Linked DNA regions of Rattus norvegicus. The main gene of each other region encodes a partner of the protein of the gene in region 2 in a complex. Links are inferred from orthologs where the notes say so. Each region holds a gene or a part of one and is shown on either strand. Other genes may lie near its edges.

Region 1 (3,646 bases), on a different chromosome or scaffold from region 2:
AGACTCCATCCGAAACTGCGCCCTCAGCATGGACCAGATCCCAGATCTACACTCTCCGCTGTCTCCTATCTCCGAGAGTCCCAGCTCCCCTGCCTATAGCACCGGTAAGCTAGCAGGGGACAATCTGTAATGTCTTTGTGGGGAACCCTTACCTGTCTGTCTTGCCTCTGTGCTGGGAGCAGTGTCCTCAGAAATGTACTAGAAAAGCCTGTGGTGGAGTCGCTGGTGTTGGCACACAAGCAGCGTCAGGTTGATAGCGTTCCCACAGGTGCCAGGCAATGGACACAAAATGGGTTCTCAGTGTGAACGGCAGGATAAGTCTGCTGGGGGTGCAGCATGTCATGGGATCAGGCCCTGAGGCTGTGATGTGCACCGTGCTTGGCCCCAGCAGACAAAGTTCCCACTACAGCTGCCTCACCAAGGACCCTGGTAACAAGTGCATCCCTAGTGAGCTTAGACCAGGCTAGCTCAGGCTAATGTGCTTTGCTGCTCTTTTTATTTTATTTTTTTAAGATTGATTGATTTATTTTATATATGAGTACACTGTAGCTGTCTCCAGACATACCAGAAGAGGGCGTCGGATCTCATTACAGATGGTTGTGAGCCACCATGTGGTTGCTGGGAATTGAACTCAGGACCTCTGGAAGAGCAGTCAGTGCTCTTAACTGCTGAGCCATCTCTCCAGCCCATCTTTTTTTTAATTACCTTTTAGAGCAGTTTAAGGTTTATAACAAAATTGAAATCACAGCGCCCTGTGCTTATAAATACAAATAAAGTAAAAATATGTCCCCAGTTTATTTCTCAAAACAAAGCAAAACAAACCCCAACTGTTAAGCAACATTTCTTGCCCCACAAGGCAGTAGGAGCATTGAGAGAGGTGGTCTCCTGGAAGTCTGGGCCTGCGGGGAGCATTCCGTGCCTCTAGAGTGTTACTGTGTGTCCTCAGGAGTCCTCCCTGAGGACCAGCCTTGCTGTCACATTCACTTGCTTTCAAACCAGCATGTCCACGTGAAGACTTTTGATTACCTATTGTGTTTTTGAGACAGAGACTCACTATGTAGCCTTGGCTGGCCTGGCACTCACTAAGTAGCCGCCTCTGCCTTCTGAGGGCTGGAATTAAACGTGTCCACCACCACACCCAGCTCATGGGCTGCTTTTTAAGTTTTTAATGGGACAGTCTCCAGCAGTGAGGTGTCTGTCAGAGCTAGGAGATGAAAGCTTTAGTCCCAGCCCTACCAAGTTGAGTGACCTGGGCAAGTCTTCTAAGCTCTGAGCCGTCATTTTCTCAGCTCAAGCCTGAGGACATGAAAGTCCTTACTGCCATAGAACGGGACATTTGGGGTATTGCTTGTTTGCTTTCGAGAGAAGGTCTCACTATGTAGCTCTGGCTGACCCAGAACTTGTTATGTAGATCAGGCTAGCCTCGAATCTACAGAGACCTGGTCATCCCAGCCTCCTGAGCGCTAGGGTTACAGGTATCCACCACTGCACGCTCTTGGCTGTTTGGCTTCTGAGATCTTTTACATTCCTTTACTTATTTGTGTGTAGGGTCTGGGGGGACAGGAATGGATCACCGCACCAGTCTAGGGGTCAAATGACAACTTCCCCGAGTTCCACAGTGTGGGTTCCAGGGATCTAACCAAGGTTGTTAGACTTGGTGGCAAATGCCTTTATCCAGTGAGCCATCTAGCACTTCCCTCCCCTCCTGCCTTTGGAGACAGGGTCTAAGTACCTCAAGCTGGCTTGTAGCTCTCACTAGTCTCCACCTCAAGGCTATCCTTCTACCTCAGACTCCCTGTGCTGTGATTGCAGACGTGGGCCACCATGTCAGGCTCTTCTCATTGATGGCTTTGCTGTTGACAATAACTCTCCAGCGTGTCACCAGCTCTGGGCACGCCCCACCCACCGAGTGTATCATTACTGCTAATTCACTTGGTGACAGCTTCACCAGGCGCAATAGGCTTCAGCAGGGCTTAGCTTCCCTGGACCGCTGCTGTGGCTTCCTATGTTGTAGCCTCTTGGGGCAGGGGCTCTGCTGGTCCAGGGAAATGCTGAGTACCACAGAGCATCTCCCTCCACATTCTGGGATGTGGGGACATCACCCTGTACATCGGATGCAGACTGTTCTTTGAGGAAACAGGGACAATTGATTTTTAAAATCATTTAAAATTACTTATTTATCATGTACATAGCATCCTGCCTGCATGTATGCCTGTGGGCCAAAAGAGGGCACCAGATCTCATTACTGATGGTCATGAGCCACCAAGCGGTTGCTGGGAATTGAACTCAGAACCTCAGGAAGAGCAGTCAGTGCTCTTCACCACTGAGGTATCTCTTCATCCTGGGAGGCTCCATTTTAAAGGGTAGTTGAGATAACGAGTCGTCTCTCTCTCTCCCCTCCATAGTAACCCGCGTCCATGCTGCTTCTGCTGCCCCCTGTACAGCACAGCCCGCCTCCCCAGTTGCCCGCCGCTCCAGTGAACCTCAGCTATGTCCTGGAGGTGCTCCAAAGCCTCCTGGGGAGTCAGACAGGGGCCCTCACGCAAGCCCGTCCCACACCCTCTGCAAGGCCTCGCCATCACCGTCACTCAGCAGCTACAGTGACCCAGACTCTGGCCACTATTGTCAGCTCCAGCCTCCTGTGCGCTGTAGCCGAGAGCCGACAGCAGGAGAGACCCCCCGGAAGGCTCGGAGCTCTGCAGAGAGGCAAAAGGAACTGTCAGAAAATGGAGTCCCTGAGGGGGAGTGGGGCAAGACCTTCACAGCCCCTGTAGCAGAAGCCACCTCATCTTTCAACCTGGCTACCTTCCAGTCCCAGCTGATCCCCAAGGAGAACCGGCCTCTGGAGGTGGGCCTGCTGCGCAAAGTCAAGGAGCTGCTGTCGGAGGTGGATGCCCGGACGCTGGCCCGGCATGTCACCAAGGTTGACTGCCTGGTACGTGTTAGGAATGCTTAGGGAGGGGACAATACCTTTAACATCTGGCTTTGAGGTCAGGAGTCAAGATGGTGACGGGCTGATTTCAAAATTCCCCAAGTACAATGACGCCAGCAGCCTGAGTTTTGACATCCCAGGTGTCTCAGGCCCCTTTTTCAGATTTATTTATTTTATGTATGTGAGTGCACTGTCGCTGTCTTCAGACAGACACACCAGAAGAGGGTATCAGATCCCATTACAGATGGTTCTGAGCCACCATGTGTTTGCTGGGAATTGAACCCAGGACCTCTGGAAGAGCAGTCAGTGTTCTTAACCACTGAGCCATCCTTCCAGCCCTCCATTTTCTTATTTTAGATTGTTTTGTTAGGGTCTCACTATGTAGCCTTGGCTGGGCTGGAACTAGCTGTGTAGATGAGGCTGGCTGCTATGTAGACCAGGCTGGCCTTGAACTCATAGAGAGCTTCCTGTCTCTGCCTCCCAAGTGCTGGGATTGAAGGCATGAGCCACCACCCCTTGCCAGTCTCCTCCTCCTTCTCATTTCATTTTTGATGTGCACTGGTGTTTCGCCAGCACGTATGCCAGGACTAGAGTTATAGGCAGTTGTGGACCACCATGTAGTTGCTGAGAATCAAACCTCAGTCCTTTTGGAAGAGCAGCCAGTGCTCCTAACCACTGAGCCATCTCTCCAGCCCAATTTTCTTCTTTGGAAAA
Region 2 (3,746 bases):
CTGAAGCTCTTGCCCTCTCGTGGTCCTCTTGTGATCCTCTCATGGGGCTCCCTTAGGAAGCAGTAGACAAAGCCATAGAGTCCAGTTCCCACTTGATGTAAGAATGCACTCTCCTACTCAGGGCATGGCAGCCATTAACTATCTGGGTCTGGCCTTGCTCAGGAAGAGGTCCCATGGAGCAGTGACAGGCTGAATGTGTTGGGCAGCAAGCAGAGCAGACCGCGGGGCCTTATGCCTTTGGTAGCCAGTGGAGCTCCGAGCCTCAGTGTACTGAGAGGGAAGGTGAAAGCAGCAAGGTGTGGCAGTCGGAAGCCCGTGTGCCTTGTGCTTGCAGGTGCATGTTTGGGCATTGTACCAAGTGTGAAACAGCTGAAGAAATTAGGGGTGATTAACAAGGAGGAAAGGAAGGTTCAGGTCCCCGAAGGCCTGTCTGTCTTCCAGCCTTGGGCAGGGGGGCCCATTGTGGGACCCTCCCTAAAAGCCACTGTAGAGGGCTGGAGGGATGGCTCACTGGTTGGGAGCACTGACCGCTCTTCCAGAGGTCCTGAGTTCAGGTCCCGGCAGCCACGTGGTGGCTCACGGCCGTCTGTGGTGGGATCTGATGCCCTCTTCTGGTGTGTCTGAAGACAGCTACAGTGTACTTGTATATAAATGAATAAATCTTCTAGAAAATTAAAAAAAAAAACCCTTTAAAAAAAAAAAGCCACTGTAGATTTTACTTTCAGGGGTATCCAATGTTAAGTCAGGCTGCTTCCTAGGCTGATCTAAGATCGCCTTCAGCCAGACTAATCTGCTCCCAAACTAGGATTGTAGGCGTCTTGGGACCCGCACTGAGGGACGTGATGTGTGGGGGTGGGGGTTCTAGTCTCAGAACCGGGTGGGCGGACCGGATGGGATTGTCTAATAGTGAGTCTGGAGGTGGCCTTTGGAAGGACAGGCAAGGTGTGGGAACTCAGCCTTCTCACCCAGTTGTGCCGACAGAAAAATGCCGGGGTCCCGGGTCCTCGCCTTTAACGCGGCCGGCGGCGCAGCAGGCGGGAGGGGGAGGGGCGGCGCGGGCAGCGCATGCGCGGCGCGGGGGGAGCGGCCGGACAGTCCGGTGGCTGAAAGCAACCCGCGGGCAGCGGAGAGCGCCGGGACCCCGCGCCGGGGGCTGTGAGCGGCGCGGGCCCACCGAGCCCGAGCTAGCCCGCGCCGCTGCCGCAGGGCCCCGGGAGCGGTGGCCAAGATGACCGTGCCGGTGAGTGCTGACCGCCTGAGACCCTGCTCCCCCCCGCCGTAGGCCTGGGCCACCGGGGGTCGCCGGAGGTTCTTTTCAAGCCGAGGTGGGGGTCAGGGTGGGGGCACCGCCCCATAACCGGCATCTCTGACACGGCTTTTCCAGCCTCCTCCAGGACAGCCGAGTAGGACGGGGAGCCGCACTGGCCCCACCGGGAGCTCCGGGGCACGGCTGGGTTGGGCAGGGGGCTTTAGGGGTGCTCCTGAGAGCCTCTGGGACTGGTGGGCTCGGCGGGGTCCGTGCCTTTCCCCGACCTCCTACCAGAGTGGTCAGGCCTACCGAAAAGAGGGCTCTGTCACTTCTTAGAAACCCATGGCCAGGTCAGCTGGGCCGAGTGGTGGGAAGGTCTGTGCGGTTCCCCCAGAAAACTCCCTGGGAGGGCTGCCCTATTGTGCTCTCTGGTCCCTACCCGGATGGCCAGGCGTGGGGCGGGGTCTGTTCTGTCCCCGGAGACACCCTTACCCCAGAATGGTTGGCTTGGCAGGCTAATGGAAATAGCGTACCTCCCCCTACCTCTGGTTTGTACATTCACTTTGTGGGAAGTTTTGTTGGCCCATTGAACTACAGGGCCTTTTGATTAGCAGCTGCTTTCTGTAGGGGCTTCCCCCTTTGCTTGACATCTCGTCTTCTGTCTTCCCAATCCACCAGACACACTCGAGAAGCCCTTGGTCCAGTCCTTAACACTAGGACCTTGGGTCTCCTCCTGAGGTGGCCAGTGATTATTCTACCAGGGGGGTGGACTCAGGCACAGGCTCCAACCCACTTTACAGATGGACACACAGAGGTGTGAGGCCACACCTTCATCCTGTCTGCCCCGGAGTCATGGCCTGCAGCCACCATTTCTCTGCTGACTCAGGCCTTTTCCCCAATGACAGGAAGGGGCAATGGGCCAGAGCCTTGCCTAGCCTGCCCTTATTCTGCTCTGGATCGACTCCGGAGACTGGGTTCTCTCCGTGATGCCGTTAGTTGGCGGGGCAAGTGGCTTCTTAATTAAGCACCATAGAGTATGGAGATTGCTGGAGAGGAGAGGGTTCTGTCAGGGCAAAGCATTGTTATTACAGAATTAAAGATCTCAGCTCCTGCCCGCCCCCAGAAGCGGTAATACTGAGTTACAGATGAAAAAATTAGGGCTTCCAGGCCGCGCTGATGGGAGCCCCCACCCCCATCTCTTCTGGTTCAAAGCATAATTGTCTCATCTCTAGGAAGAGACGGAGAAAGCCTGCCAAACCTCTCTGCTGTTCTGCTCTGCTGTTCTGCAAAGCTCAGGGTTTTCTCCAGCTTGGGGCATAGGGCACCGACCAACTCCGCCTCTGTGGACATTGGCCAGGAAAACAAGACAGACCTGCTGAGTGTGCTGGAGGGCCAGGGTCCCCAAGGCTGTAATGACCATGGAGTACCCCTCTGGACAGGCCTCTGGTCGGGAGGTCCAGGATTGGTTTAGTAGTCTAGCCTAGGTATAGAGCTCTGTATGGGACATGTGTCTTAGACGGCACGCAGACCCTTATCTCACGAGATTTCAGGTAGTCGCCCTCTGCTGTGTGCCACGGTGGTACCATCTATAACTGGAGAGGATAAGGGGTTTGTACAGGTGAGAATCACTGTGAAGAACTAAAGTGAAGGTCTGTCCCTACCACGATCCACTCCAAGTCACTTCTCTCCCGTTCGCTTGTAGCCACAGCCCTCAGTAATTCTGCACAGTGTGTAGCTAGACTAGACTGTCAGGCCATTGTCCTCTATCCTGGGCCCTAAGTAGTGTGCAAGGTGGTGGGGCTATGGAGAGGTCATTTCTGAAGCTTTCATATGCTGGGAGCCCGGGTGGACTTCTAGAAAGATCTGCCTGCCCAGGGAGCCCAGAATGGTGACTGGCCATGTGGTACTTAGGGACACGTTTGAGTTTTAAGCACACCCATTCATTTGGGCAGTCTTTCCCTGTATAGAGCTGACGCAAGCACTTTGGCCCACAGAAATTACAAGATGCTAACAGGCGGCAGTGGGAGACCACTGCAGAGAGAACTTGGGATGAAATAGGTTGAGTTGATGTGATTTCCTGGGTATCCAAGCAGGGCCTGGACAGGGTTTTGTTTTGGTGTTTGAGATAAGATCTCATTGTATAGCCCTGAATACCCTGGAATTTACTCTGTAGACCAGGCTTACCTTGAACTCATACTGAAAGCCATCTGCTTCTGCCTCCTCCAAGTGTTGGCCTAACTTGGAGTTCGCACTTGAAAATGACTGCTGCCATCTCGGACCCATGTCCACAAGTAACGAGAGGTTGGCTGCCCTGCCACGGTACGGTGAAGGGCAAGGCCTGTGCAGAGCAGCCCCACTGCAGCATGGCTCTGCTATGGCTTCTCTCCTGTGAAACTGGGTAGCCCATCTAGCCTCTACCGTGCCCTTTCTTGGGAGATGGGCCCTTTCAAGGAACACAGAGGCTGCCCGGTGTGAGCATGTCCTATGTGCTGGTCCT

The links. Proteins that work in one complex are often made in the same cells at the same time.
Region 1: the proteins of Bcar1 (region 2) and Sh2d3c are in contact, whole or in part, in a crystal structure (PDB 3T6G), measured with the Homo sapiens proteins. The link is inferred for Rattus norvegicus from reciprocal best matches to the Homo sapiens genes BCAR1 and SH2D3C. Residues at the interface, in NP_055382.2 of Homo sapiens: Ser739, Gln742, Phe746, Tyr747, Gln750, Asn754, Val779, Ser782, Lys783, Ile786, Leu787, His790, Val793, Phe794, Ile795, Asp797, Thr798, Arg801, Gln802, Ser816, Asn817, Cys820, Leu823, Arg824, Val827, Lys831; in NP_733745.1 of Homo sapiens: Thr543, Val544, Pro545, Val547, Gly616, Val617, Arg618, Glu622, Thr625, Leu626, Pro627, His628, Leu749, Leu752, Leu753, His771, Gly772, Val773, Glu774, Val776, Leu777, Leu780, Glu781, Ala783, Arg784, Ala787, His788.

The regions. Positions count from the first base shown.
Region 1 is NC_086021.1:36,435,792-36,439,437, forward strand, and holds part of Sh2d3c (SH2 domain-containing protein 3C), read left to right. Parts: coding exon 1-104; intron 105-2,405; coding exon 2,406-2,935; intron 2,936-3,646. UniProt on the Homo sapiens protein: Acts as an adapter protein that mediates cell signaling pathways involved in cellular functions such as cell adhesion and migration, tissue organization, and the regulation of the immune response.
Region 2 is NC_086037.1:56,620,553-56,624,298, reverse strand, and holds the start of Bcar1 (breast cancer anti-estrogen resistance protein 1), read left to right. Parts: upstream 1-1,108; 5' UTR 1,109-1,228; coding exon 1,229-1,240; intron 1,241-3,746. UniProt on the Homo sapiens protein: Docking protein which plays a central coordinating role for tyrosine kinase-based signaling related to cell adhesion. Implicated in induction of cell migration and cell branching. Involved in the BCAR3-mediated inhibition of TGFB signaling.